2 linked regions of the Saccharomyces cerevisiae S288C genome follow. The protein of the gene in region 1 interacts with the protein of each later gene in a pairwise test. Each region holds a gene or a part of one and is shown in the gene's direction. Other genes may lie near its edges. The genes, in order: YAP7 and STB2.

What was found.
Region 2: the proteins of YAP7 (region 1) and STB2 interact in a two-hybrid assay, tested with the Saccharomyces cerevisiae proteins (one large-scale study listed by BioGRID).

Annotation. Positions count from the first base shown.
Region 1 is NC_001147.6:270,081-273,587, reverse strand, and holds YAP7 (Yap7p), read left to right. Parts: upstream 1-2,217; coding exon 2,218-2,955; downstream 2,956-3,507. Other genes in the region: ribosome-binding protein MDM38, read left to right, coding at 1-1,585; YOL029C (uncharacterized protein), read left to right, coding at 3,168-3,507. UniProt on the Saccharomyces cerevisiae protein: Probable transcription activator linked to cell cycle that induces transcription activation of genes in the environmental stress response and metabolism control pathways, like the closely related YAP5.
Region 2 is NC_001145.3:380,727-384,657, reverse strand, and holds the start of STB2 (Stb2p), read left to right. Parts: upstream 1-1,759; coding exon 1,760-3,931. Other genes in the region: STV1 (H(+)-transporting V0 sector ATPase subunit a), read right to left, coding at 1-1,355.

The DNA of each region.
Region 1 (3,507 bases):
GCCCAACTATCCTTTATCTTTGAGATTTTATTCTACTGATAAGTCGAAAAGTGTTACGAAGCCCGTAGCTCCAACATCCACCGATGCTCCTGCCAAGCCCAAGGAGACGCTTATGGTCAAAGTGAAGCACGCCTTGAAACATTATGCTAATGGGACGAAACTTTTGGGTTACGAAATCAAAGTTTCTACTAAGCTTTTGATTAAATTTGCTCAGGGTTACGAGTTGTCTAGAAGAGAGAGGAACCAATTGAGGAGGACAATGGGCGATGTGTTTAGGTTGATCCCTTTTTCAGCGTTCCTTATTATTCCATTCGCCGAACTATTTTTGCCTTTCGCTTTGAAACTCTTCCCCAACTTACTACCCTCCACTTACGAATCCGGCAAGGATAAGCAAGCCAAGAGAAATAAGCTCATCGAGATCAGAAAAAAGACATCCGAATTCTTGCATGAGACTTTGGAAGAATCCAATTTGATCACTTACAACACCATTGAAAATGCAGAGAAGAAGCAAAAATTTTTGAATTTTTTCCGGAAGCTTTATTCTGCCAAGGAAGGTAAGATTATGACTTTCCAACACGATGAAATAAGCGCCATTGCGCAAATGTTCAAAAACGATAGCGTTTTGGATAACTTGTCAAGACCACAATTGGCAGCAATGTCGAAGTTTATGTCACTAAGGCCATTTGGTAACGATAACATGCTTCGTTACCAAATTCGTTCCAAACTAAAGGATATAATGAACGACGATAAAACTATTGACTACGAAGGCGTTGAAAGTTTATCGCAAGAAGAGCTGTATCAAGCTTGTGTGTCTCGTGGTATGAAAGCGTACGGTGTATCCAAGGAGGACTTGGTCGATAATCTAAAAGTTTGGCTAGAATTGAGACTGAGACAAAAAATCCCATCCGTCTTGATGGTTTTGAGTTCCACGTTCACGTTTGGAGGACTTCCAAAGGAGAACTATTCAAAGGCATTCTCGCCACTAGCTGAAAAAAAAGAAACAAAAAGCAAATATGACGACCTTTTGGATCTGTACTACGACGGTATATTACAAGTGCTAAGTTCCATTCCAGATCCCGTTTACAACGTCGCAAAACTAGATGTATCTGAATCGAAATCATCCGCTGCTGAAACTGAAGCTGAAAAGCAAGTTGCTGAAAAGAAGATAAAGACGGAAGAAAAACCCGAGGAAACTGCTATACCGAAGGAAGAAGCCACCGCAAAAGAGTCTGTTATAGCTACCACCGCTTCTGCGGTTACTCCTAAACTAGTCGTAGTTAATGAAAAGGCAGAAACAGCGAAGACAGAGGAAATATCTCAGGAAAAAGAGAACGCAGAGCCTACCGACTCTGCGGAAGCCACGGAAGCTGAAGAAAAGAAGACATCCGACGATAACGAGTTCAAATTGAACGTTTTGAAGGAGCAAGAAGAACTAATAAAGAAGGAGGAAGAGGAAGCTAAGCAAAGAGCTTCGAGAGAGCATGTGCCAGATGATATCAACCTAGATGAAGAGGAAGAAGCAAAATCTGTACCTCCCATTCCGGCCGATCAAGCTGCGAAGACTTTTGTCATTAAGAAAGATTGATATTAGATCAAAGCCTAAGAAAAAAACTAAAAAAAACTAAAAAAAAAAAGTCAATCGGTTCTCTTTTCTCTGACAACAATGGCAAAAGATCAAAGAGAAGCGTACGTCACGGCAAAACCAGCGACCCTTCAAAACTAAATTATTATGCATGTATATAATAGACACCCTATCTAAACTACCGCCTTATTTTTTTTTTTATACAGGAGCAAAGTGTCTTTTTTGTGATGGCCACGAGGGTCCTTTCACTCATGACTCCTTAATCAGCATCTTATGAGCTGGATTTTCATATATCGGCGATTTTTTTCATCGGTAATGCACGCAGTAAAGCTGCTCGCTCGAGAAAAATTAGTAATATATGGAAGAAGAAGCATAAGCATAAAAGAGAAAATCCGCTGCCCCACCGTAGAAAGCAAACAAGGCTATTGGTTATTCCTCTTTTCACCTGTACTTCAATCTGTAGCACATCATCATAAGAGGCTTGAAAGTTGCTCAAGAACAGTTTCAACGGTTTTTTCTTTTGAAATTTGAAAATTGCTCTTCGTTTGTTGAGCCGTTATCAAGGAAGTAAATCATCAATTAAAGAATATAGAAAGGCACAAAATTTTGTCATTTACGCACACTTTCAATGGATCATGAGACAACGAAGGTCTGTAGTAGCAGTTAGCGTAAAGCCCAAAGGCTTCAAATTGGGGCATAAACAGGGTTCCATGTCTACGACGTCTCCACCTCCATCCTCACCAGATGGAAATGTGAGTACATCAGGACCGTCAGCTATTAAGTTATCCAAGAATTGGGAGTTACCACAGCGCCTAAAACCGGGCCGCAAACCGAAATCCAAGCGCGGGGATGCATCAGCTAATAATGATGGATCGTCCAAGATAAAGAAGGTTCAAACTTCCAACCAGAAAGACCAAATGACCACAAAAGATCATGAGAACGAAGGCGCAAAAGGTCATGAGGGGAAATCTGATGATGAAGGCAACGGAAGTGGTGATGAAAACGGTGTCGATAGCGTGGAAAAGCGAAGGAGGCAAAATAGAGATGCGCAAAGAGCATATAGGGAACGCAGAACAACAAGAATCCAGGTTCTGGAAGAGAAGGTTGAGATGCTACACAATTTGGTCGATGATTGGCAAAGGAAATATAAACTGCTGGAATCTGAGTTTTCCGATACAAAGGAAAACTTGCAAAAATCAATAGCATTAAACAACGAATTGCAAAAAGCCTTGCCTTTGATTGTTAATACTCCATTTCAACAGCAGCCAGAAAACCCGCCAGACAATCCTATTTCGATATTAGAAATGGTAGAAAACTTTAAACCAATCGGCGCTGTCAGTTTAAAAAAAGGAAAGCTGAAGGCCCATTGTTAACATCTCATGTGCCCGCGGTATTAACAGACCAGTCTTTGTCTGAGATTGATATAGCCAACGATTATCAATATCTGAGCGGCAGACAGTTTAGTTCAACGAATTCATCGCTTGATGGCCATATTAATTCACCTCTGTCTTCATGCAGCAGCAGTATCAATGCATGTGCAGGCAGTGGCAACAAAAAAATAAAATGTTGTAGGAATAAAGATGCCATGAAACCAGTAACATGTTGCAACCAAAAGAATAACATAATGCCATCCTTAGTCCCCGTTTGCTGTTCAGAAAAGAAAATAGAATCCGATGCTAAGAAATCAATATCGAAATGCTGTGGAGACAAAGAAATCTACGATAGCGAGAATAGACCGATCACTAAAGAGGATGGGTCATGGATACCTGGAAGCTGCAAGCAATGTAGATCAGACCCCCATAGTAGGAATTTTTGTCAATCACTTTCGAATAAATGTAGTTCAAGCTCTTTCTCTTCCAACAGTGCGTTGTCACCGGATCTAAATGAACAACAAACTGACGTAAATTACAATTCAATCAAGCTAC
Region 2 (3,931 bases), on another chromosome or scaffold:
TTGATTTCTTTATATGTTGCGATACCGTATGCATCCACAATCGATTGGAAGGCCTGAGTGAACTTGTTGGTTCTATGGTATGTAGGTGGTAATTTATTGGTTAGGATCACATTAAAGACGGTACTGTATTCAGAACCCAACGTTTCAATGTAATCCTTCAATGAGTCTTGTAAATGGATCAATTCTGTGGAAGGCACCCAACCTTCGGCTATTAGACCCTGTGATTCTTGTTGGAACTTGTTCAATGTGGTATAAACATATTTTTCCCTTTTCGTCATGGCGGACCATACTGGCAGCTGGTCATGTATAACGAGCAGTTCTGTGTGTAAAGTTTGTTCGGTAGTATCCAGGATTCTTTGCAAGTCGTCTATTTGACGGTTTAAGGTGTCAACTAATTCACTAGAACGAGTATTCAGGGAGACTATTTTACCATTTAAGGAATCTATGACACGCTTAACCTTCTTGAGCAATGTTTCACCATGAGTAAAAATAATAAAGCAGTCCTTTTCAACCTTTTCTTTACCTTCCAACAATGGCTCCTCTATTGGAAAATTCTGAAAGATCAAATTACCACGCAATAACCTCCACAGGATTCTGTTCAATATATCTACTTTTGTTCTTCTGATAGAGCCTGTTATCATGTATCTATGCTGGTATCCCTGCTCTAAAAAGCTTAGATCTTCGACTGATTGGTTTCTAGTGAGGTCATTCCCTAGAGCGCCCCGGTCCTGTGGTGTTTCGTCGTCAAAAGAAAAAGCATCGCTTAATGTTTCACTGATATCATCAGGGGTCATTCTAAACTCGTCAACATCCCTTTCTTCTTGTTCAATCTCGGGGTTTGTAGCTCTTCCAGCAATCCCAGGATTGACTTCAATAAATTTTGAGCATTCGAATATTACCTGCCTTTGCTCTAAAAGATCGTTCAGTTTACTTCTAAGGCTATCTAAAGATTCATCTAATTGCCTTGCACGGGATTCGCAATCAGTAATTTCCTTCACCATGTCATTAACATTTTCCAACGATAGTGGTTCCATGGTATTGATGAGATCCGCCATATCGGGTTGGGCAATGTCGTTTCCTTCATCATCGATATGTAAAATATACTTCCAGGTCTCTGCGGCGTGCTTTTCAACTACCTCATTCAAGAAGCCTACCATCCTTTCCACTTCATCGAAACGCCTCAACTGGTTAACATAACCTCTTTGAAAGGCAGTTAAATCTTTATTGAGATCCATCACCATAAAGACACTCATTTTCCCTAATAAGAAAGTTACCTCTCTTATGACTTCCAACGGTATGTACAGTTGGACGTACGTCATGTCTGCTGACCGGAATATAGCCTCTTCTTGATTCATAATTATTCATATAACTCGAGGAATTTTAGAGAATAAGAATGCGTCTGTTGCGAATTATGATATGCACCTTAATGTAAGCCTCGAGGTCACGAGGATATTATTTGCAAGCAAAAGCAAAAGCGAGTACAAAACTGTAAGCAAAACGAAATAAAAAGAGTGTGCTACTATTCTATTATTGTCAACACTGAACTTCCAATCACCTTCGTGGGCCTATGTCTTTTCTTAACTACCTATGCAGTTGACTACATAAACAAAAATGGCAAAAAAGGACACCTCTATTTTGAGAAACAAAAATAAGCCCCGCTACCCGCATAACAGGAAATAGAAGCTATAATGATCTGAGAATGATATTTAGGGGAGGTAATGAACTAGACCCTGGAAGAAGCACCTATTAATAAATATGTATGGTTATGGCGGATACTATTGCCACAGGAGACAAAACTAGCCAGTTTGATGGAAAACATATGCAGGATTTAGAAAGAATTTACTCCACTAGGGATACACTCGATGATAATTTCTTTGGAGAACGTGGACAAAAAGATGCAAACGGTGATTATTACGATGAATTAAACAATGAGGAAACCAATTACAGTGGAAGTAGTTACTATGGTCACTCAGATGATTCGGAAGTGGTTGGGTTGATAAAGAATGATACTGTGAGCCAGCTCCCGCCTCTCGACAGTTTTATATTCCCAGATTCTAGGGCTTTGTTCTTGTTAGATTTAGGCAACTATGCTGATTTAACTTATGAAGAAATTATCGTACACGGGTTTGAAATATATATTGTGGAGCAATGGGTAGCATGTAGGAATTTGTCAACATTGATTACGTCATATACAGGAAACTCTCAGGATACAATATCGGGAGTCAGAGTCGTTTTGCCAAAGGATACGAGTATGTGGCCAGGGAGATTTAGACTGTATTTTGAAGAATTAATGGAATTTGCGCGGCCAAAATTTACACCAAAGGGCACTCTATTTATTACCAATCTTTCGGGTGTGTCCTTTGGCTTGAATCTGTTGCATGTGGAATGTGGTGACTTGAGAACAATTTGGAAGGATTTCGAGGTTAATTTTGATCTGAAAAACCTGCATTGTGGTGGAAGATCGGCAAATCTGTTATGCCCTCCAACTATGGCATCACTTGATAAGTTTTCACAACTGTTCAAAATCCCTACAAATGGTTTTATTGCACAGTATCCCCAAATGATTCAGCAGCAGCAACCGCGTTTGCCTGAGGAAGAATACAAGACGGTTGGAAATTCAAAGTGTCGAAATACCGATAGTAAATCACCAGTCGTGGAGATGGTAACTTTAATTCAAATTTCGTTGAGTTATTTCAATTTGTTATCTAAGAACTACCAGACGGATGGTCTTTTGTGTGAAGACACCAAGCGAGCTATAGATGAATGGTGGGAAACTTACGGGAAACTGTACCTTGGTACAGAAAAGCCAAGGAATGAATGCACACTGGGTCCGACGACAGTAGCTGGCCTAATTAGTTTGATCCTTTGTTGCTATTTCAAGTTGATGATAGAAAATTGCATTTCCTCTAAGGATCCCTTTGATGAAGCTGGTTTCTTCCAAGGTATTTATAATTTCCAAAAAAAGCATGGCCTCAATAAAAGAAAATCTAGAGTTTATTTAGACCCAAGAACGTTAGAGAAACTCTTTGAAGTGACAGCGAAAGTTTCTAGCAAAGACATTTTTAAACTGAAGAAAATGGTGACATCAACGGTACAGGACATCATAGGAAAGGGAAATCCCATCAACCTGTCACACAAAATTCTTACAACAGATCTAGATACACTTATTCATAATATTCATGGAGGCTCTGTAGGACTACTATGGAAAGGTAAGGGACACCCAAGGAAATGCTGTACGGATATTTCTAATGAAGAATTTTTGAAATTTAACTACCAGAGAGGCGATCCTGATGGGCAGATAAGAGAAAGGGAAATGCTACTAGAAAAATTTCGTTTGGAAAGAATCGCATACGCTCAAAAGCACGCCTCCAAAAAGGTTAGTTCTTCCAGTCTTGATACATCTGAAGACATAGGGAGGACCAATGCTATGCCCTCATCTGCAACAGTGTCATCAATGTTTCCAAACTACGATAATACCAAATATGCATATAATTTTGGCATCAACAAATTATATCAAGGAGAATACTACCGAAGAAATTCGTTTCCCTATTGTAAAGATCGCACACACGACAACATTTATGAAGATCTTTCAGAGCTGAAGGAAAAGTCATCTCGTTTGTATAGATGCAACTCTTCTTCTGCTGTACAGAATATTGTGGAAAAATGGGATTTACCATTTGATCCATCTGTTGTTCGAATAGCTAGAGATTTGTTACGAATGAAATACGACATCCAAGCGCAGCAACACATACAAGAAATGGATGAGCATTATATGGGTAAATTAAATAAGGAGGGAACTGTTGGTCAGTACTCTAAATTCAACGAAAGATATAAAAGACTGCAAGAACTATATAAGAAGTATTCAGATGGTGCAAAAGTGTTTGAAGGGAGATTTGAAGACATTGACAATAAGCAACAACTTCTTCTCCAT